Xenopus tropicalis: one gene and its partner. The main gene of each other region encodes a partner of the protein of the gene in region 2 in a complex. Links are inferred from orthologs where the notes say so. Each region holds a gene or a part of one and is shown on either strand. Other genes may lie near its edges. The genes, in order: pag1 and csk.

Region 1 (3,828 bases), on a different chromosome or scaffold from region 2:
TTTATTTCCAAGTGTCGGTGTATTTTTTGGGTTTGTGAAAGGGCAGCTGGCTGTGGGCAGACAAGGAGCAGAGCTAGGGTAGCCATGAATTGTCCACTTGTGGGTTATGCAACAGGCTGGCCACATGGACAGATATTTTGTGACTGGATCATCCATAGGGAAGGTCTAACAGCCAAAACAAGTATAGTGAGGAGATGCTGTGGTCCCTGTCACTTTCCCATCTATCCATCCCCCTTTTTGGTTGGTTGTGTGTATGTGCTTTTTAAAAGCTGCGGCCAGCATATCTGCAGGAGGGCACATAGTAAAATGCTGAATTTTGTATACAGATGCATATTGTAATTATCTGTTCTCTGCACAATGTATTTTGCCTATTGGTGTCACTATGTGTATGTATGCTCACAGCTTAAAGGGAACATTAGCTCAAACTTACACACTCGAGATCTTTTTGCTATAAATGCTCTAAATTGAAAGGTGCAAAGCTCATGTGTTTACATCCATGACAGCGCTTTAGCCTCTGACACCATGCAATGTGATAGAGAGGCACTCACACACAGCAACTTTCTATACCAATAACCATGGTGGCTGCATACAGTACAGCTATGGCTAATGTTCTTCTGAAACATTATTACATCAGATCCATTGAAGTCCACTCCAAGGTCCAAATTGTACGGTACTTCAGTTCCACCGTATTGCAGGATTTTTTTAGTCTTAATGGCCCCCTGACTGGTCATACGTGGCCAGATGTGTGGTATAGCTTAAATCACCGAAAATGCCCAGCCAAGTTGGGGCATGTATGGCCAGCTTAAGAGCAGGACACACAGAAATCCAGTGGGAGATTACATGGAATATAAAATGCATATATTGAGTTCTGTTTCTTCCTGTTTTGTTTGCTGTGTATGCCCGAGTGCTATATGTACATTTCTGTTACACTGTGCTTGTTTATTTCCAGGAAGCAGGACAGTGTGTTCCCACAAATGAAGTCCCCCTCTGAGCAGATAACCATACACTAAGAATGGCTCCCATTGTACAGGAGATGGCGGGAAGCCCAAGTAATGACCTGAGTGGGGAACAAGCAGCGTTCATGGCATGGGGTGGGCTGGCTGCTGTGTCAACCATCATCTTCCTCTCCATACTCCTCTTTCTGTGTTCCAGCTGTTACAGGCAAGGCTGATACCTTATTTACTTATATATAGCATGGGTAGGATACAGTTAACAAAAAGTAAGCAAGAAGATGTACTATCGCAAAGAATAAGAAAGTGGCAAAATGCACTTTGGCTTCCACAGTCTGGATGTTAAATCTGAAAAGCTTTTGCTGTTGAACTATAGATCCAGCATTCTCCTGCGGTCATCTGAGGGGCAATGACTTTATCTGTAGAACAGGGCACCACAAGCTATAGATTACTTTCCATAATTAAAGGACAATTCTCATCAAAATATCGTTTCCACCATCAGAGGTGCCTGCGCTCCAGATGGGGAAAACAATCATCAGTATTGTAACTTGGTCCCAGATCCCCTTTTGCTTTGCATCTGACTACAAACTTGATAGGGCAGCCTACACTATATAAGGTATTATTCATTAGAAATGAGAGACTGTGCTGAAACTAAAGGTGCTTATCTATATCAGGTAGGAACTACATAAATATGGTTTGTTTCTTTCAACAGAGAGAAGAAAAAGAAACATCAGAATGGGGACCATGAGAATCTAATGACAGCGGTAAGCAAATCTGCTATTAACTACATGTATGAACATGTGCATCTAATGTGCGTCTCAGGCAAATGTTTGTATGGAACAGCATATACCTATTCACACCCATTTGTTAAATGATAATTAAGCCACAACCTATCCCAGTGCCTACTGACACTCTGATACTGTAGAGATACTGTATAACTATGGCACTGAACTCAGATGTTTGCATTCATTCTACTACAACTGAGCCATAGGCATTTCAAATAATATAAAGATGTGAACTATTAGTAACTCCACTTTCCTAATGTTCCATGATTTTTTTATTATGTCTTTGGTGTATGGCTTGTTATATGTTACAGAACAGATGAATTACTGTAGCCCTGTTACAGCCAATGCAAATTGTGGAGATTTCAAGAAAATGTGTTCATTTGTCCATTTTTATCATTTTTCTTTATAACATTTACTGAAGCAAATATTACTTTTTGTACATATGCATGCTCTTTCTTTTTTGCATGGTGCATTTTATCTGCTTGTGGAATATCTTGTAAAGGTTACATTTCATAAAGTAAAAGTAACCTTTTTTTTTATTTGGAAACTGCAGCCTTCTGATAAGGAAACATACAGCCACTCTGTTACAAGCCTGGGCACAGAGGCACCGGCCAGTTACCGAAATGGTGCAGTCAGTAATGGTGATGGTGAGTAGCTCCAGTACATTAGCTAACATGGACAAAGGCAGCAGTCAGTGTAATTACATTAATTATCTACATTGTGACATCTGTTGTCGACATTCATATTGTCATTCGGTGCTAGGAAGAGAGTGATTGTACGTGTTCCTCATACACTCGTATCCGAATATCCTGAGCACCTATTTGCGTCGGCATATAACAGATGATTGTTGTAGGAAAGGAATACAGCACGTCGCCTTCACTTTAAAACTGCAATTTCCATAAACTGACACCAACCTTTATGTAGATGCTGAGAGGGGGATAGTACATCAAATTGATTATCTCTAGACTTTATTTCAGTTATTTGAAGTTCATATTACATTTAAGTTCCCCTTTACATAAACACAATTTCCAAAGTACAGGTATGGGTTCTGTTATCCGGAAACCTGCCATCTAGAAAGCTTTGGATTATGGGAAGCCCATACCCGATAAATTACATTATAATCAAATAATTCAAATATTTTTTAAATGATTTCCTTTTTCTCTGCAATAAAACAGTACCTTGTACTTGATTCTAAATAAGATAAAATTAACCCTTACTAGCTATTCATTTGTAAATGATTTTTTTTTAAACACGAAAAGATCCCCTATCCTGAAAGCTCCAAGTCCTGCACATTCTGGTTCCATACCTGTATGTATTTTCTTACTTTGCAGTACTGAGTAGTTAATTCAAAACGCCTCTGAATATGAATGTTGCTTTTCCTGCAGTTTCAGAAGACAGCAGCGCTGCCTGCATTCAGCCATACGAGGATGTACAGGGCTCCCTGCCTGACCTGTGCGACCTTCAGGACTGCACATCAAAATCAATAAGGTGCCACCAAAGCCGAGAGCTGCCTAGAATTCCACCTAACAGTAACCTAGAGACTATAAGCCCAGCAGAAGATGATGAGAATGAGTTACCTCTTGGGAATGAAGGGCCCTATGAGGTGCTAAAGGATAGTTCCTCCCATGAGAATATTATTGAGGATTCACTGTATGAAACTGTAAAAGAAATAAAGGATGCTCATGCACTGCCCCTCAATGAAGAAACAGAGAGATCCATGGATGCTGTAAGCCCTAAGAGACAAGAATTTAGGATAGAGGCTGGGGCAGAATATGCTTCTGTGGATCACAACAGGAAAAGCCGACAGAGCATCAACACACAAAGTGCTGGCAGCACCCCAACTTCCCAAGAAGAGGACGTTCCACCTCCACTTCCCAAGAAACTATTGGATGAAAATGAAAATGTGCAAAGCAAGGAACCGGAAGCAGAACCAGAAGCAGAACCAGAAGCCTTGAAGGAAAATATAGAGGGTGCAAGTCAAGATGACAAAGTAGGTTTATTGAAAAACTGATTTAAAATAAATCTCTGCTGAGATGCTCTGCAGCCACTGGAACAATATGTGTTAATATAAGATGTGCTGGTCATGAGTTTCT
Region 2 (3,828 bases):
TATTGAGCTCTTTATTCAAATAACAGTAACACTTCATTCATACTGCAAGCTCTCAACTGCTTGCCCCTCCCATACTCCTTACTGACACTGTGGAACTACACAGTGCTTCTGGTTTTAGTGCAGGCTGAGAATTAGGGGAGGGGGGGGGTTTGAGGGTGCTAAAATTACTCAGCATGCAGTTTTGATAAATATGAGTGGCACAGTAATGAGAATTAAGGTAGTAGTTAACAGTTAGTAGACATAGGCCTTCAAGGTCTCCGATTTTATTAATACAGGTATCGGACCCCTTATCTGGAAACCCATTATACAGAAAGTTCCGAATTATGGAAAGGCCTTCTCCCATAGACTCCATTTTAATAAAATAATTCACATTTTAAAAAATGGTTTCCTTTTTCTCTGTAATAATAAAACAGTCCCAACTAAGATATAATTAATCCTTATTAGAGCTAAAACAATACTATTGGGTTTAAATACGGTTTAAATAATTTTCTTAGTAGACTTAAGGTAGGAGATCTGAATTACGGAAAGACCCCTTATCCGGAAAACCCCAGGTCCCGAGCATTCTGGATAACGGGCCCCATACCTGTAGAATAAACACCGCCCAATTCATGTGTAAAGGTGGCCATACACAGGCAGATTTAAGCTGTCGATTCAGGTCCTTCAGATTGATTTAGCAGCTACCCATGCATGGGACCATCTGAAGGCCTCCTTGACTGACATCTGGACTAAAATTAGCTAAATGTAGATAGGGCAAGCTTGATTTTCCCGTCAGATTGAGGACCACAACGGTTTACTGATCCTTGATCCGACAGCTCATATTCCCTTCACTGTAATGCGATTGTTTGGCCCTTTAGCCGAATGATTGCATTAGATGAATATCTACCACCCAAGGTGAGCATATCGGGGGAAATCACCAAACGAGTGGATCTTGTAGTGTATGGCCACCTTCAGACGCTTTCTAAGATATTCATTACTTCTCTGCCTCTATCAGATACATGATGAGCGCTCTCTAAATTTACCAGATGAAAAAAGTGCAGACTTGCATGCAGAGTACCTGATGCTATGATCTTATTTTAGATTTGGTCATTGATAAACCATGTTACAGCAAACAAAGGAAGAACAACATGCATGGTTTACCATCCAGTTAGGAATTCAATGACTTTCCAAAGGTCTTTCCATTCAGGAAATGTCCCCATATCAACCATTTCAACAAGTATTCTTAGTTCACATGCTAAAGGAGACGGTTATACTGCTCTGTGTAACTAAGTGCTATACATAGCACATGATAACTGAGAGGCACTGGAGAACAGGAGATAATATGATCAGTATTAGAAGTGAGGATAATGCTAATAGAAAGCCATCAAAATACTTTCCACTGAAGTCCTCCATTCATGCAAAGCAACAAAAGAAAACAAACCTTAGGCATACGGACTACATTAGGTGTGTGGGGGAGAAAGGGAACAATCATTGACATTTTTCTGTATACCTCTCAAAGCATTTGGGTGCCCTTCAGGTGGATTTCTGGTAAATGTTACTGCCAAATAACATGGCTCCTCTTTGCCAACACAAACCCTGCAAACGTTTGTAAATAAAGTTGGCCATACACATTAAGATCCGCTCGCTTGGCGAGGTTGCCAAGCGAGCGAATCTTCTCCCAATATCCCCATCTACAGGTGGGCGATATCGGGCAAATTTAGGCTAATTCAATCGTTTGACAGCATCGGCACCCCGATCCGACTAAATCTTTTAACCTGCCTGATCAATATCTGGCCAATTTCAGGCCAGATGTCAGTCAGCAGGCCTGTCGTTGCTGCCCCAACACGGGCCGTTAAGCTGCGAAATCGGTTTAAGGGACCGATATCGGAAGCTACAATCAGCCTGTGTATGAACATTTTAGTGTGTGGGATGATTTATATGGCAAGTATTACTATGCATATCTAGGTTAACTTGGGGCATATCAAGCTGAGAGCTGTTGATTCCAAGTGGGATGTTGGTACCTGTGTAATTTCAAATTATTCCCACAAAAAATACACCTTCTGGTGGGGGTGTCATTAGAAAAGGAAACTGAAAGACACATGTAACATTTTTTATGTGAAGGAATGGCGTAAATTAAAATTTAATATTTCGTACCAATACTTATGTATTTTTTTTTATTTTTTTTAAATTCTCAAGTTTTAATTTTATATTTTTCATTTTTGATAGGTTACAGGTCTAAATTGGGGATATTAAGTATAAGTAATGTCACAAACAAACAAATTACAGCTGTGACATCAAAGAGTGTTTTGTTCCACAGTGTTGCCATGAATCATAGAGACCTACATCACTGTGCGGCTCCATTAAGACAAACCCAGCCCCTTTTGCATGAAGCCCACCCCTTTCATGGCAGTCTAGGTTCTCAAGCACCAAATGGGCCCCACACTGGATTCCCCCATCTGCCCAACTCCTTTGCCCCTGATGGGCTCCGGTTTCATACCTCCACCAGCTGCATGAGATTTTCAAAGTATTCCTCTTCATCAATGCTCAGCTTGCCAGAAGAATAGATAATGCGGTAATGCTCCACTTTCCCTTCACAGCTCACACACAGAGTATAATCTCCAGGGTAGTTTGTACTCTCCCGTACAAGGAATAAGCCCGTTTCAGGTGGATACAAGAGACGCTCAGCCTGCTCTCGGGTTATCTTGCCATGAAACCACCTTTAAGGGCGTAACAGAATGAAAGAACAAGGTAAAAGAAGTAGTTAGGTTTGATTTATATGTATATAATTGATTTAAATTCGCTGATTATAAAATATATTTAAGAGGAAAATATACCCCCTTTTTCACATGAGTTCACTCAGTTGGGCTTGTGTAGAAAAGGTGCACAAAACACTGAACCTGAACTTCAAGATATAAATAAAAATGTATTTCATTCTACACAAACATACCGAATTTCACAGATTAACCCTTTCACGTATGTACGTATGGCGTACGTTGTTGCAGTAAAAGGCTTTATCTGCCAACAACATGCGCCGTACGTTGTTTGGCAGATAAAGGTACTTTCTGCAGAAGCGGCATGTACTGCTTCTACAGAGAGTTTTTAGAGATGACAGCCCCCTCGGCAATGAGCCAGGGGAACTGTCATGTCGGCCCTGCGACGCGATCATCACAGGGCTGACCTCCAAGCAGCAGGCGCGATCGCATCGCGTCTGCTGCTTAGTCTTCACTTCCTGCTTCCTGTTGCCCCCCCCCAAGCACCGGCCCGGATGAAGACTGCAGCAGGAGGACCAGGACTGCGATCCCTGCTTCAGGACAGGTAAGATGGGTTTTTTTGCACTTACACACAACTCACACACACTTACAGCAGAAAAGTTAGCAGTTGTTTTTTCATTTTGCACACTTATATACACACTTACACACTGTCACACAACTTTTACACATGTACACACATGTATACACAAACACTTTTTTAAAAAAAATTAATTTTTTTTACCACTTTGTTTTTAGTTTCTTTTCCATAAAAAATGTATATTTTGACAGCGCGACTATTGGATCAGATATTCTGACCACTAATTACACTGTTGTGTGACTTATTTTGTCGTTTCACTAATTCGCACAATTTTTGTGGTTTTATTGCATTTTTATCCCTGTATTAGTATTCCTGATCTGTTTTTAGCATAGCTTTGCCATGTGTAACTTTGGTGTAGAAAAATTTTACCTATTTTGAATTCATCAGAATGTGTATTTTCCAAAAATATATGGTTTTCTGGGGGTCTCTGTATAGTTGGGGGGGTTACTGCACATAATACGCTGTCAGGGGGCTCTGTGCAAAAGCTGAGTTGGCAGGCAAGAA

The links.
Region 1: the proteins of csk (region 2) and pag1 are in contact, whole or in part, in an NMR structure (PDB 2RSY), measured with the Rattus norvegicus proteins. The link is inferred for Xenopus tropicalis from reciprocal best matches to the Homo sapiens genes CSK and PAG1. Residues at the interface, in NP_001025210.1 of Rattus norvegicus: Thr88, Arg89, Glu93, Arg107, Ser109, Thr110, Asn111, Tyr112, Thr117, Cys122, Glu123, Lys125, Val126, Glu127, His128, Tyr129, Arg130, Ile140, Asp141, Tyr156, Asp161, Gly162; in NP_071589.1 of Rattus norvegicus: Phe291, Ser292, Leu294, Tyr296, Lys297, Ser298, Arg299, Glu300, Glu301, Leu305, Ile310, Met313, Tyr314, Ser315, Ser316, Val317, Asn318, Lys319.

What each region holds. Positions count from the first base shown.
Region 1 is NC_030682.2:123,791,219-123,795,046, reverse strand, and holds part of pag1 (phosphoprotein associated with glycosphingolipid-enriched microdomains 1), read left to right. Parts: intron 1-949; 5' UTR 950-1,012; coding exon 1,013-1,161; intron 1,162-1,662; coding exon 1,663-1,714; intron 1,715-2,288; coding exon 2,289-2,382; intron 2,383-3,120; coding exon 3,121-3,725; intron 3,726-3,828. UniProt on the Homo sapiens protein: Negatively regulates TCR (T-cell antigen receptor)-mediated signaling in T-cells and FCER1 (high affinity immunoglobulin epsilon receptor)-mediated signaling in mast cells.
Region 2 is NC_030679.2:94,053,153-94,056,980, forward strand, and holds part of csk (tyrosine-protein kinase CSK), read right to left. Parts: intron 2,694-3,828; coding exon 2,474-2,693; intron 1-2,473. UniProt on the Homo sapiens protein: Non-receptor tyrosine-protein kinase that plays an important role in the regulation of cell growth, differentiation, migration and immune response.